Drosophila melanogaster: one gene and its partners. The protein of the gene in region 3 purifies or fractionates together with the protein of the main gene of each other region. This does not show direct contact. Each region holds a gene or a part of one and is shown on either strand. Other genes may lie near its edges.

The links.
Region 1: the proteins of ATPsynG (region 3) and ATPsyndelta purify together in Drosophila melanogaster (affinity purification with mass spectrometry; 2 studies listed by BioGRID, with this or other methods). This does not show direct contact.
Region 2: the proteins of ATPsynG (region 3) and ATPsynD purify together in Drosophila melanogaster (affinity purification with mass spectrometry; 2 studies listed by BioGRID, with this or other methods). This does not show direct contact.

What each region holds. Positions count from the first base shown.
Region 1 is NC_004354.4:10,211,302-10,218,154, reverse strand, and holds ATPsyndelta (ATP synthase, delta subunit), read right to left. Parts: upstream 5,186-6,853; 5' UTR 5,081-5,185; intron 4,875-5,080; 5' UTR 4,869-4,874; coding exon 4,670-4,868; intron 4,596-4,669; coding exon 4,384-4,595; intron 4,057-4,383; coding exon 3,994-4,056; 3' UTR 3,159-3,993; coding exon of another isoform or gene 2,034-3,158; 3' UTR 1,607-2,033; coding exon of another isoform or gene 1,601-1,606; 3' UTR 762-1,600; downstream 1-761. Other genes in the region: CG15308 (uncharacterized protein), read left to right, coding at 1-59; CG2962 (uncharacterized protein), read left to right, coding at 1,601-1,606, 2,034-3,158.
Region 2 is NT_033777.3:19,093,220-19,097,032, forward strand, and holds ATPsynD (ATP synthase, subunit D), read left to right. Parts: upstream 1-1,780; 5' UTR 1,781-1,855; intron 1,856-2,177; 5' UTR 2,178-2,189; coding exon 2,190-2,726; 3' UTR 2,727-3,052; downstream 3,053-3,813. Other genes in the region: mRpL55 (mitochondrial ribosomal protein L55), read right to left, coding at 1,220-1,366, 1,423-1,599. UniProt on the Drosophila melanogaster protein: Mitochondrial membrane ATP synthase (F(1)F(0) ATP synthase or Complex V) produces ATP from ADP in the presence of a proton gradient across the membrane which is generated by electron transport complexes of the respiratory chain.
Region 3 is NT_033779.5:10,974,973-10,978,630, reverse strand, and holds ATPsynG (ATP synthase, subunit G), read left to right. Parts: upstream 1-2,231; 5' UTR 2,232-2,269; exon of another isoform or gene 2,270-2,325; 5' UTR 2,326-2,340; coding exon 2,341-2,380; intron 2,381-2,469; coding exon 2,470-2,729; 3' UTR 2,730-3,109; downstream 3,110-3,658. Other genes in the region: SCAR, read right to left, coding at 1-669; abo (abnormal oocyte), read left to right, coding at 3,419-3,658.

The DNA of each region.
Region 1 (6,853 bases), on a different chromosome or scaffold from region 3:
CCCCCATCTACGATGCTCCACTGGTGCAGTCCTATGGTGGATGGTTGAAGCAGAAGTAGATGGATGCCACGAGAAAGGATACCACTACATGTACTTTTGATGTGAAATAAACTTTGAATAGAACGAACAAATATATACTAGCAAAACTCAAATATATCGTTTTAAATATTTATGTATATAAGTTAAAAGTTATATTGAACTGAAGATTTGAGCCAAACTTGTTTCGAGATTGCAGATGCACTAATATAGATATTTATGTATGTATGTATGTAGTTTCTCAACAGATGCATTCCATGCATGGATCAATTAACAAACCATAATAGACCGCGACAAGATCATAATCACGATTAGTGGCAGAGTGCAGGTTAGCCAACCATTTCTTGGATATTACTTGATTTCCCACCAATCTGATCTGCCCACTGAAAATCTCTTTTTTTTTTGGTATAAATTAATACGTTTCTTAACCGAAAAGCATAACCAATTTGAACAATTTGATAGTATTTTATAAAATTGTTATAAACTGAGTAGAAATATGATTCTAAATGGATATATATATATATGCACATCAGTTGATTATGTTGAATATTTGTGTAAATAAACATATGTTTATTGTTGTAAGTATGTAATACTTAGTGGCTATTTAAAATGCGCCAACAGATATCACTGATCCGAACCGTTGGCCAATTTTACAACATCTTTGGCCTATTGGGCCAACATAATGCGTTTTACATGGCTCGAAGATGCGACTGGTGGCTTGCATAATAATCGGCTCGTTTTATAAATACCTGCATATAGATGGAATATAGCCACCATCAATGAGATGGTTCGGCTTGACAACAGATTCCGATTCAGATTCACCTTGAAATTGCCGGATGAGGTGAAATGGAATGGGTTGGTTTGGTTTCGATTGGATTGGATTGGGTTGGGTTGGGTTAGGTTTTCGCTTTGGTTTATGACAGACTGCCGGCCGCCTTGTGAGGCAACCGCTTTGCAGCACGCCCGTGTATGCAAATTGAATTGACCAAAATCCAAAATCCAAATCGAAATCAAAATCAAAATGAAAACGAAAACCTAAACCATAAAACATAAGATGCCGAATAAAAAAAAAAATACGAAATATGAAAGCCCCATTCCGAGCTTATCACTAACGTAGCGTCTCATTTTCATGCTAATTGTGGGATCCCCATTCGGAATTTGGGAAATGCAGCGTAAGACTTGATGAAACTGAAACTGGTAGCTGGTAGCTGGTAGCTGGTAGCTGGTAGCTGGTAGCTGGTAGCTCCGAATCCAACTGGCTATGGAAGAACCAACCACGACGATTGGCACTTTTGGGTGCGTCCAGCAGCATTTGGTGAAAATCGAAATGAAAACGAAAGCCCATCATCATGATGCTGCTCATCATCGTGGCGATGATGATGATGGCGTTGATGGGCAGTTTGGAAATGTTAATGAAACGCCTTTTGTTCGCCCTTGCTGGCTTATATCGTATAAAAGACTTGGTCTCCAATCGATCGGACATCAGTCGCTTGCTCATCGGCACTCAAGGCGTTTTTTTTTTTTTGGAATTGGTATCATCGCATCAAGTGGATTAGTAGTCAGCATGAAGGTGAGCTGCTCACAATGTCCTGTGCCGGCAAATATCCTCTTCTAGTTTTTTTTTTTTTATTTATCCAAACTGATTTGAAAAGTGACAAAGTGGCAAGAGCATCCTGAGCTCAGTTTAAATTCTTTCGAACTTTCGAAGAAGTGATAGTTAATATTCAAATACAAAGTGTGCTGAAGAATATCAGAAGATTGAAAATGAAAATATTTAAACAAAGAATGAATACAAAGTATATCCATTTGGAAAATACAGTCTATGAAGATCAAAGATCCTTTAAAGATATAGAAAAAAAAACCAGCGATAAAACTCTACTTTCTAATTGGAAAACATAACAAAAACTTAATGAACTTTATATATTCTTTAAAATCCTCTAAGGATGCAACATGAAACATGAAACTAAATCGCTTCTTATACTCTGCCATCCTTCCAGGTCTTCGTTTGCATGTGTGCTCTGTTCGCTGTGGCCAACGCTGGCTTCCTGGGACTCCTCGGCGGTGGCGGCGGTGGAGGCGGTGGTGGCGGCCTTAACCTCGGAGGCGGTGGTGGCAACGGAGGCGGCGGCGGTGGTAGTGGCGCTCGCGGCTATGGCGGCCATGGACCCAGTGGCCCAGTCCAGGTGGTCAAGGTGATCCATCAGCAGGGCGGCGTTGGCTACTCCTCCGGCGCTAGCTATGGCAGCGGCTATGGCTACGAGGCGGCTCCCCAGATCTTCAAGGTGAAGGTCATCTCTGGCGGCAGCGGCGGTGGCTATGGACCCGCTCCTGGACCCGCTTATCTGCCTCCAGCTGGGCCCGCCCCCTCCTCCGTCAAGGTGATCAAGATCCTGCAGGAATCCGCACCCATTGTGAGTGCCCCGCTGGTCGAGAGCGCTCCGCAGATTGTCAAGGTGGTGAATGTGGCATCTGGACCCGTGGCTGGACCATCCTTCATCGGCGGCTCTTCGGTTGGCGGCGGTGCCGTGTCCCAGGTCATCAAGGTCGTTCACGAGAGCCACGACAGCGGCATCTCGTCGGGTGGCTACTCGTCGGGTGGCTACTCCTCCGGTGGTTACTCTTCGGGTGGAGCCACCAAGGTGGTGCGTGTGATCCATGAGCACTCCGCTCCAGCTGCCGGTCCAGCCTATGCCCCCATCGATGTGCCCGCACCAGTGGCTGCTCCAGTCGCTTCCTACCTGCCTCCTCAGGAGATCGCTGCTCCGGCTCCAGTTTATGCTGCTCCAGCTCCGGCTCCAGTTTATGCTGCTCCTGCTCCCGCTCCTGTGTACTCCGCACCTGCTCCCGCTCCAGTGTACTCCGCTCCTGCCCCAGCTCCTGTGTACTCTGCTCCTGCTCCCGCTCCAGTGTACTCCGCACCTGCTCCCGCTCCAGCTTACTCCGCTCCTGCTCCCGCTCCAGTTTACTCCGCTCCTGCCCCAGCTCCAGTCTATGCCGCCCCAGCACCCGCTCCCGTCCTGAGTGTGCCACATCCCGCTCCTGCACCCGTTTTTGCTCCCGAGGAGCAGTCCCTGCCCATCGGTCACGCCCCTGCCCAGACCTACGGCCCACCGGGATACTAGAACAATTCGCCAATCTATCGGAGGACCTTCCTGCTAACTACATCGACAGCATATTACCATTCCCACACAACGCCATGAGTTAATTTAAGACATTTTTTTTACAACACATTTTTTTGTTACCAAATACATAGACAATTCCAAAAAAAAAAAATCCAATTTTCTTTTTTCAATTCTATAGTATTTATCATCTTTATAAAGAGTTTCAAAATGGATTATCTTCTATCTGCCAAAAGTATAATTTTAGCCATTGATTAATTCTTGTTTCCATAAAAAAAAAACAAAGTTGCTTTTTATTACTACTTTTGAGAGAAATTTAAACAATCATCCGAGATAAGATATGCGAACTATCCATGAATGCAACACACCAGATGAAATACAAACTATACTATTTGTTAAGATGAAAGACGAGCTCATTTACAAATTGTAAGTTTTTATGCTTATGCGATTTGCATAAATTGGCAAGGGAAAAAGAAACGACGTTCGTCTCTTTCGGCCAAAATGCAAATCACTCATATTTTTGACTTAAAGATTGCCAAAGCATTATCATATCAACGGTCTATCCCACAGCGAGCAAATATTACACATTTCTCTTCACCAGCTCACATACATATATTATAAACTATATAAACACACAGTTTAGCGGCATAACATGAAAAAAAAAAGAAAAAAAAATCATTTGCCTGGTGGATCACGGGTCATTAATACGATATTATGATTCGCTTTTTTATTGTTTCATAACTCTCTGGCTTTTTAAGGTGATCGTTATGTTTTTTATTTATTTCAGACACAAAGCATCGATTGTGGTTTATTGGTGGCGGTTGTGTGGTGATTACGTCTATTCGGCAGCCTTGACTAACGCTTCGGCGACCTCCACGGCAATGGCAGCCTGGGCCTTGGCCTGCAAAACAAGGATCGTGGTTAAGTCTCGTTTAGATAGCTTCAGAATGTGCAATACAGAATGCAAAAGCAACTCAAACATAAGTTTACTCATGGAAATATCGAATGTGTAAGCGTTAATTTAAGAGCAAACTTGTTTGTACAAAGAAAGTATATCAAGTAAAAAGGATGGGCACATAGAAATCGTTTAGTAACTTAAATGCCAGTTGGCGTGAATGGTGGAAGCAGTGTTTCCATCAAAAGAGTCTGTTTGAGTTGTACTTTCTGGACCACTACTTCTACTTTCTAGACACTACTCTACTATGCAACTTCTTGACTAGATTCGCACCTTGTCGTCGCCAGCGGAGCTAAGCTGTGACTGGTATTTCGCGAGCAGCTGGCGCGCCTCATTGGCATCGATGTCCTCGATGTTGTGGGCCTCCTCGGCCAGAACCTGAACGGAGGAATCCTCGTTGACGGTGACGGAACCGCTGGAGACGAAGAACTTGAGGGTCTTGCCATCGTTTTCCACCACCTGGACAACGCCGGGCTTCAGGACAGCTGCAATAGCAAAGAGATTCGCCAACGGTGATATAACCATCTCGAGGCAACTGAAACTGAATGATCGAACTTACCCAGAGTGGGCACGTGCTTGGCCAGGATGCCGAAGGATCCCGAGAAGGAAGGCACATCGATTTGGCGCACCACAGCGGCATCGTAGAAGGTTTTGTTGGCGGCGGCGAAGGTCAGCTTCATCTCATCCGAGTAGCTGCGGTTCTGGGCCAAGCGAGCGCCGCGGGCGGCCAGCAAACGGGCGTTCTTAACGAAGGACATTTTGGGCTGCAACGAGAGGATAAATTCAGGATTAAAAGTCTTTTCTGCCACAGCCAGCCAGCATAACAACAAAATAACCAAATTATGTAACTTTGTAGGTTAGGCGGCGGCTGCTATTGCGTTTCCCCAGCTCAAATTTCGATCGCTTTTCATTGCAAATCCTCGGGCACTGTGATCAGTGGACTACCCCTCAATTTATCAGTTATTTTCACCTGTTTTTATTTCGGTTTGATAGCGAAAAACACGAGAAAACTTCAGTGATCAGCCGCTGTTTTTGCGAAAAACGTTTAAGTCAGAGTGACCAGCCGGGAATACAAAACTTATCTAGCAATAACGCGTTTTTACGATATTTAGAGGACAAGACAAAATACAAAATTTTCAATACGCAACAGGCTCTTACAAAATAAAAAGTGCAATCATTTCACACATAATAATTAAGTGTTTTAATTATAATAATAAAGTGCCTCAATCAATAAACAAATTATATAGACCAATAAACTTTTAGTGGCAACACTTATTCTTTTAATTCATTAGTCTGGCATCGCCAATTAAAAGCTTAAATTTTTTGTATATTGCTTTTGATCGTACATTAAAAATGATATTAAAAGAAAAACTATTTATTCCAAAAATTATAATTTAAAAAATGAAATTTCCTTTATTAGATTAAGACTTTGATTAATAACGGTGTGTTTACATGGCATAACCATGCGACCATTTATACTGTTATGAATCTGGTGTTTTTGATTTTGTTTAGTTTCTTTTTCAGTATTTCCTTTTTTATTAGATCCTTTTATTAAAGTTCGGAGTTTTTTCGTATCTCACGAATCTTTTACCCGCGCAACATTCAAAACTGGCGTTAGCGACTATTTTTAGCCACCGCGCTACCTGGTCACACTGGCACAGGCAGCACAACAACAAATTCCAATTGGAAATAGAAACGAAACAATGCAGATTGCTGCATTATTATACAAGTGAAGAAGAAGAGAGTGCCATTTTCGGCTGCTATTTGTGCACGTCTCTGTGACTGTGTGTGAGTGTGTGCGTGTCGCGTGTGTGCTCTGCGCTGAGGTGTTTGTTGGCGAACGACAGCGAAAGGCGACAAGCAAACAAACAAACAAACAAAACACACAGGACGTAAGTGCTTGCAACATTTACCCAAGTTTGTCACCCACTCGCGCCCTCTCTGTCGCACCTGCAGGCGAAACGCAGTTGCGAAAAACAACAGTGTTTCCCCATGTTTGTGTTTGTGTGCATAGATAGCTGTCTATATATTTTTCGCTCTGCTTATTTTCTATTTTGTTTTGTTATATCTTCTATTTTGCTTGGCTCTTCGTGTATGTGTATAGGTGTCTTAGCAAATTGCGCCTTTCAGTTGGAAAAACTCTGCAAAAAATAGAAACAGAAAGCTTGCCTTAAAGTTCATTCCTCACACACACAGCTGACTTTGTTGTGGAAAAAGGGTGTGAAGAAGAGAAGGATTTTCTGCTTTTTGTTTGTTGCACACATACAGGCCCGCATACACATGTGAACGAGCAGCTGTAGCGCGCATGTGTATGTGTTTGTGTATTTTTGTTTACCTCTCTCTCCGCCGTCACACTCTCACTCACTCTCTTCTCCGCTGTCTTGCCCTCTGCCTGCGTCGCGGTCGCCAGTGGCGTCGCAACGCAATATATTTCATGTTATTTCTGATAAGAGAACTAACCGCAATCGGTCTATATAAACATATATACAACAGATCCGATCCTTAGCTATTGACCCCAAGCTATAGCGGTGCGAGCGGAACGGCAACATCGCAAAGAAGCAGCGGCATAAGACAACAACAATGTTGGGTCGTTGCTCCTCTTTTTGCTTCTTCGCTTTCATCTTCTGCTCCTTTTGTTTTTTGTTACGGTACTTTTAGATACTTCGAAAAGTGTATACCCTTCGTACTATCTGATTCAGGCAAAATTATATGTAGGTTTTCTTGTCATCCGATCTTTATGATT
Region 2 (3,813 bases), on a different chromosome or scaffold from region 3:
TCGAAACAGATGTGAAAAAGTAACAAGTTTTAGCTCTACAATGTTTACTTTAAATTTAGCATTTACGAAGTATAAATAGACACATTATTTACGCATTATGTTTTATTATATTTAAGACAAAATACAATCAACGTAAGTTAAAATATAAGATTGCAAACCTATTTACCCTCAATTCTAAATGTTTAAATATACAATAGTACATGACAATTTTGCATTTCCCGTTACGAAATTATATTTGTGTTTTTATCTCGGTAGAACCTTGAAAACCATGTTGTGTCAAGATGCAGCGAAAGCAGCGGGTGGCAACTTTTGGCAGGCAGTGTGCGAAAGCTAAGGTCAGGCCCATCTCTAGGTTGCTTCCGCACACAGACACGCACGCACACAGCGATGGGGAAATGCCAACGATAGCACAGGTCTAATCCATTTAATTCTGGCTTTTAACCGATTTCTGCTAATACTATTTATTTACCCGTTTGGTTTTGGCGACTGCTCTCTCTCTCTCCCTCCGTTCTTATTGCCGTGTGGCCATAATCCAATTATGCTTGTGTTTGTGTGTATGTGTCTGCTCTCTATTGCAATTGCAGTTATTCGCATCCGCCGTGATATGCAACCAACACATTCGCACTCGCGCACTCACACGCACCCGCAGACATCACAAATGCGAGGACCGAAAATCCTGAGCGTCAACAAAATAAATATAGCTCTGGTGTTTTAAAATAGGTTTTCACTCGATTCTGCGTTTGCTGTCTCGTCTTGTTTATGTGCATTCGTCGTTGGTTGTGTGTACTTGTTTTTTTTTTTTTTTGTTAGACGCGACTGTCCATTCAACATTACCACTCAGCCGACGCAGAGCGAGATTATAATTCGGTAACCGATTCACTGGCACTGCTCTAACGGGCTATAGCCTATGATCCAGTCTGGAATGGAGCTAAAGATATGTTGCTTTCATTTATGTCTGCACTCGCGAAAAAGCGTCCACAAATTAACAGTTCTTCGGGAGCGACGCGCAGCTAGACGTCCGACTTTGTTTTCCGACTCGATTAGAGTGACCGTTGTGGGATGGTGGAAAAAAGTGGAGGGCCCATGCTGAAACCGATAACAAAAATACCAGATGTGCGATATACACTATCGATAACGAGCACAATTTCTTAATTCTAATTTAAAACAATTATATAACGGGCTTTCGTGTTTTATTTAACAAATAGTGAATAAAATGCGGCTACTTCTTTTTGATGTACTTCATGTACTTCTTGGCGTTGAAGTTGTCCTCCACCTCCTCCATGATCTTGACCTTCTTGCGCGGCTTGCGGGCCTCCAATCTCGCTCTGCGCTCCGCATCGGTTAAGGTGCTCAGATCCAAGGGAAGCTAGTAGATGGTACTCGTTAATTATGGTTTCGTTAAGTTATAGTAACTAACGTTACCTTGATAATCTTCCTGGGCTCGTGATAGCGGATGTTTATCGTGGATCCATCGGGTTGCACCACAACTGTGGGATATAGCCGGCAGTAAACCGAGCGATGCAGCCTGGTAACCGCCGTCGTGGCCGATGAGATGCAGCGTATCTGCTGAACAGCCTGGGGCAACTGTTTCAGCAACATTTTAATTGATAATCACAATATTTACACTAAATAAGAGCTACACTTAAATCGTGTTTTTGCTGCCAGGCAGCTGATAGTGTGACCGACCCGAGGGTAAGATTTAAAGACTCCTAAATTAGTTATTAAGAATCTGTGGTAGCCCTGGTTCAGTTTCCACATTATGTGGTATTTTCCCCAGCTCTGGTCACATTCGTACTCAAAGTGTAAGTGTTGGTTGCAGAGGCAGAAATTCTTATTTTTCTCCTTGAAAATATAAGTACGTTACGTTAAACACTGCAAAAATAATAAAAAAAAAGCGCACGGTTGGGCTACAACAGCGATTAGTCTGCAAGCCTCGAGGAAAGGACTGCAAACGCGTTTTTAGTTTGAAGGAACATTGAGGATTGAAAAAAATTACATAATTTTTGCGAGCATAACTCGCCGTGCATTATGTCGATAAGTCTGCAACTAAAGAAGCAGAGATTACATTTCAACTAATAAGAATATCGCTGCACAGTTCCAGGACACCTAGAAATCACTTACCACCTCTATAAACCCAAAAACCTAACCTCATCCCCGCTTTTGTTGTTGTCTTGCAGTATCTGTGCAGAATGGCCGCCCGCCGTATCGCCCAATCCTCGATCAACTGGTCCGCTCTCGCCGAGCGCGTGCCCGCCAACCAGAAGAGCAGCTTCGGCGCCTTCAAGACCAAGTCGGACATCTATGTGCGCGCCGTGCTGGCCAATCCCGAGTGCCCACCCCAGATCGATTGGGCCAACTACAAGAAGCTTGTGCCAGTGGCCGGACTCGTCGATAGCTTCCAGAAGCAGTACGAAGCCCTGAAGGTGCCCTATCCCCAGGACAAGGTGTCGTCCCAGGTGGATGCCGAGATCAAGGCGTCGCAGAGCGAAATCGATGCCTACAAGAAGGCCTCGGAGCAGCGCATTCAGAACTACCAAAAGGAGATCGCCCATCTCAAGTCTCTGCTGCCCTACGACCAGATGACCATGGAGGACTACCGCGACGCATTCCCCGATAGCGCACTCGATCCCCTCAACAAGCCCACCTTCTGGCCCCACACTCCCGAGGAGCAGGTCGGCTACAAGTCCAAGGAGCAGCTGGAGGCCGAAGCCCAGGGACACCACTAAACCGGAGCGCACGAGGAGCACTCTGACACTGGCTTCGTTGGTCGTCTGTTCGATTCGAAATGTAATCCGCGTTGAAGTAAATTACCCAAATTAAATTCATTTCAAATGACAGTTACGGTATCTAATTTGCATTTGTTGTCTATGTGACATCTTGTTGGATGGATATGCATAAAGAAAATGGGATCCTTAAATCAAAATAATGAAATAAATTGAGAAAACAATCAATTTGACAGCCCAATGCACTGGAAATGATAGCCGGTCCTTGCAGTTTTATAAGCTAATAGATAAAAATCAAATGCACAAATAAATAAATAAGCAAATTGGCTACAATTCAAACTTAAACTTAAACAAAAATTAAAATTACTAATCGGCACCAATGGTGGTGCTAGACTCCGCTAAATGCGGATGTTGTACTTGCTAAATGAAACTAAAGCTCCCTCTTGTGGGCGGTGGCAAATAAATTCCCAGAGATGTCGGTTTCTGGGAATGAAAAGCACTTCCTGATTTCTAAAAAATTTAATAATTCCGAAAGTACTTTATATTGAAATTTAATGTGCGTCAAATTAGCGTCGATGAGTTAGAGGCGGCACAGTAAGTGGGAATTCCTGCTCCTTATTGCCACACCGCTGGATTTTAATACTTTTAAACCTCTACCTTGGTTTGTGTCCGCACTACAGGCAGTATATTCTAACTGGATTTTCCCGATCGCCTTAGTATATTTTTCAAATGTTTATTGGTTGAAAGACTGAGCACTGCTAGCATTTATTTTGAGAGAATTCAAGCAGTGCCATCTTGTTTGGCTCTCCGAAAGCCGTTAAAAGCTTCAGTCGCCGCTCAAATCTCGTTTCTCTCGCCATCTCGCTCCAACTCGAACAAGCTCACCTTTTGCGAGGAAAAAACCGCAGCAGCGCGCGTCTTAACTTGTCCGCGAAGTGCACCTTCGTGATCGGAGCCGCAAATGCCGCGCAGCACGACGCGATCTGTTCAGTCGCGAGCGAATCGAGTTGGAGTGCAAACGTCTCAAGCGGAATCTCAAGTTGTAGCGCCAGACGCAGCGATCCGATCGGAGTGTACATGCATGTGAATC
Region 3 (3,658 bases):
GTGCACCAGTGCACGTTGTCGCTGCTGTTCGCGCGTATTGTGCGGCACCCTTATTTTGGTCTTCTGTTTCTTATTGCCACGTCCAGCAGCTCCGCCGGCACCGCCATCCTGCCGCGGTCTGTTCAGCTTCTTGCCCTTGTCGTGCATCACACGTTCGGTATCCTTCAGCATCTCCTGTCGCCACAACTCAAAGAAGTAGTTCGGATCCGTGTAGAACTTAAGACCATCCTTGCCATCGTCTCGATAGACATTAAGCTTGTCGAGGGGCGGCGGTTTGTCGCACTGGGCATATGTGTCCATCATTGGTGCCGGCATGGTGGCGCGCGAGAAGATCTGTTGATCAAAAACCTTGGCCGACTTGAAGGCCTTCTTTCGGGTAATGTCCGTCAAGGGCACCTCCTCAACTGTGCTGTCCAGCTGGGTAACTTTGATAGCTAGGCGATCGATGCGCGCCTGCAGGGAGTTAGCTCGATCCCCGATGTTGCCCACGTCGCGGGCCAGTTCACCGAACACATCCTCTGCGTGCTTGGACAGCGAGGACAGCTGGCGAATGATGTTCGTCAGCGTGGTGTTGGTGACCGTCTCCAGCTCCACGGATTGCAGCTCATCCTGCTGATACACGGAGCGGGCCACATGCACGGGTTCTATGGATCGTTTGGGCAGCGGCATGGTCGGGCGCGATTGACAATTATCTCCAAATTGGCAAACCCGTAAATTAGTGCGTCCTCATCGACTGAAAACGGCATTAATAAGTAATAAATTGTTTTAATACGAATTAATGCATTTAAAATTAATTAAATATAAAACCCTTTATTTACTGATTTACTACATAATCTCATGCCAAATTGGGATCAATAATAAAAAGATTTCTTTTTATGCTGATTATCAATTGAAGACATTTCATTCCGATAAAATTGTACTTCCCAAATTGTCGTTTAACTTTGTTTATAAATTTTCCCGTAAAAGTAGACGTTTAAAAAGTTAATTGGATACTATCAAAATTGGTTTAAAAGAAATTTTGTCATCACTATACTAAACCGTCTATGAACAAGACTCAGAATGGTATTGCAGAAGATTTCACGAGACGCTTATCCATGTATCCATGAGACGTGTTCATTACAATCACCAAAATGCCATTTGAATTGTTTTGTGATATGCGCGACTGACGAACTCGACGTCTGGACCACACCCCACGAAACGATACCCACAGCGAGGTGATAAGGGCGTAACGCCCAAGTCACCCCCGCAAGATGCACCTTGCAGTCCCGGCGAGATTAGTCGATAATGCCCCCCTTTTCGGTGGCAGTTTCTGGGTGCTACGACCTGGGGCCTTTACGTGGGCACCTATTCCATACGTGCATATACGTATATCGTCGGCGGCCTCCCACCAACGCAAATTAGACCGTCACGCACTCACACACACGCATGAACCGCAGCAGCAGCAGCACCCAAGTAAATGTACATACATATGTGTGGGACGGAACGGCTGACTCTTTCAGATTTTCGCACTGAAACATTCGCACTAAATCGCAACAATGCACACACAAAGGTATCTCTCACACTTTCTAATCGTAGTGGCTGCTGCGATTTTGATTTTGGTTTTGAACGGCGCAGCTTAGTTTTACACAGTCCACCTCACTTTACAGCATATCGTACACTCACCGCCCGTCACACTTTTCGTTTGGCGGCTGGCACCACAACAAACATTAAGCAGCCACTTCCGTTTCGGGGGTTCGGTGGCAAATTCGATCCGATGCGAACTCTAATTAGCCAATTTGGGGCTTGAAAACTGCAAATATTTGCTCGTTTTGTGGAAACTAAGATTTCCACACCTTTGCAGTGTGACCGAAGCTTTGTGGTTCGAAAATACTGCAGGGATTCATCATTTCGGAAAATCAGACAAATATACTGCACGATGCGGTGGGGAAAAAGTTATTTTTATATTAAATGTAATATGTATTTTAATTACTATATTTAAATAAATTTTGCAAGGGAATTTTCAGTAACTCATTTCATATTGTTTATTTACTGTATAGAATGAAATATTTTAAATATAAATATATATTCAATTTATTTTATTTTATTTTAACTCTATATTATCCATAATAAGCTATTTTATTAACGTTATTTAAAATTACTGTTTGCAGTTTCTTCCATTAACTTTAGAAATGTATATTTGGTATTTTTGGTATTTATCCGCCGATCGATAACTAGTGCTCCAGCCCTGGCCCCAATGCATAACATCTCTGTTTCGTCGCACACTGAATAGGTAAGTTTTCCGCACATTTCGTTGATTTCCTCTTGTATAATTCCAACTGCTTGCAGAACCAAATTGAAAAGATGGCGAGTTTGGCTACCAAGGGATCAGGACTTGTGAACAGTGAGTGTCGTGAATCGAATGCAATCGAATGGATACACCACCATTGGCGCCTGTCAATCGCAAAATTATGTAATGATCACTTTTTGCAGGGCTCCTCACACAGGCGAGGCCCCAACTGGACGTGTTCCTGAAGTACGCCAAGGTGGAACTGACGCCCCCGACGCCCGCCGATATTCCGGCCATTCGCCAAGGACTGGGCAACATCATCAAGGGAGCCAAGACCGGCGCCTACAAGAACCTCACGGTTCGCGAGGCCTGGCTTAACACCCTGGTGACCGCCGAGGTCATCTTCTGGTTCTACATCGGCGAGTGCATCGGCAAGCGTCACATTGTAGGCTACAATGTCTAAGCTTACTATAGTCTCCGCTTGGCAGTCACTGGAATGGGCAACGTAATCCCTAACAGATGTGTATATTTATATGTCTGCGAACATTTCGACTCTGAATAAAGTGAAATAGTAATTTAAAATTCCGAAAATTTTCGAAAAATACATTGTTTTTTGAAAACCGTTAGAACGTTTGCGCGGGATTTGTGTAAGCTAAAGATGAGGTGATGTAAAACCAAGTTTGGAATTAAAAGTTGACGATATTTAATGATAAAAATTAAAAAAATATATGTAATGTTATACATCAAATGTTTATGAAACGGTGTCGTAATCAAAGAGGCTAATGGTTCAGAAATACATAATATACTTAGAGCATTTAAAAGCACTCAAGAATAATTTTATTTAAAAAAAAAAATAAATAAATCTAAATTTGCTTTTCATAGATAATTCATTTACACATTTTTTTAAACAAAGTAAAGTAAGATGTATTGAATTATTTTATTTATAAATAACGTTTTTTATTTGAATCTTGAAAAGCATTAATATTATTATTATTATACTTATATTTTTTAACAACAAAACTTTTGTAGACAGAGTAAATTTTTGTAATCTAACTGCGGTCACACTTTACTTTAGTTACCTTCCGATCGGAAGAAGAACCCGGCTGACATTAGGAATAGGAACTTGGCAGAACTTTCCCAGGATCTGTCAGAATGGCCTACAAGAAGCGCCTACAATCGCAGAACCTCGTGCATCTGCTGCAGAACCGCGAGTCCGGATACACCAACGTGGGCCAACAGCCGGGCAGGATGCCGCTGTTGGCCTACGAGCGTCTCTTCTACAAGTGCATCACGCCTTGCCTGACAATTGACTCGATTACCATTCCGCCGATCTACCTGCGCAAGTTTACGCCGGATGGCAGAAAACTGTTGGCCTTCTCGCAGGATCAGCGC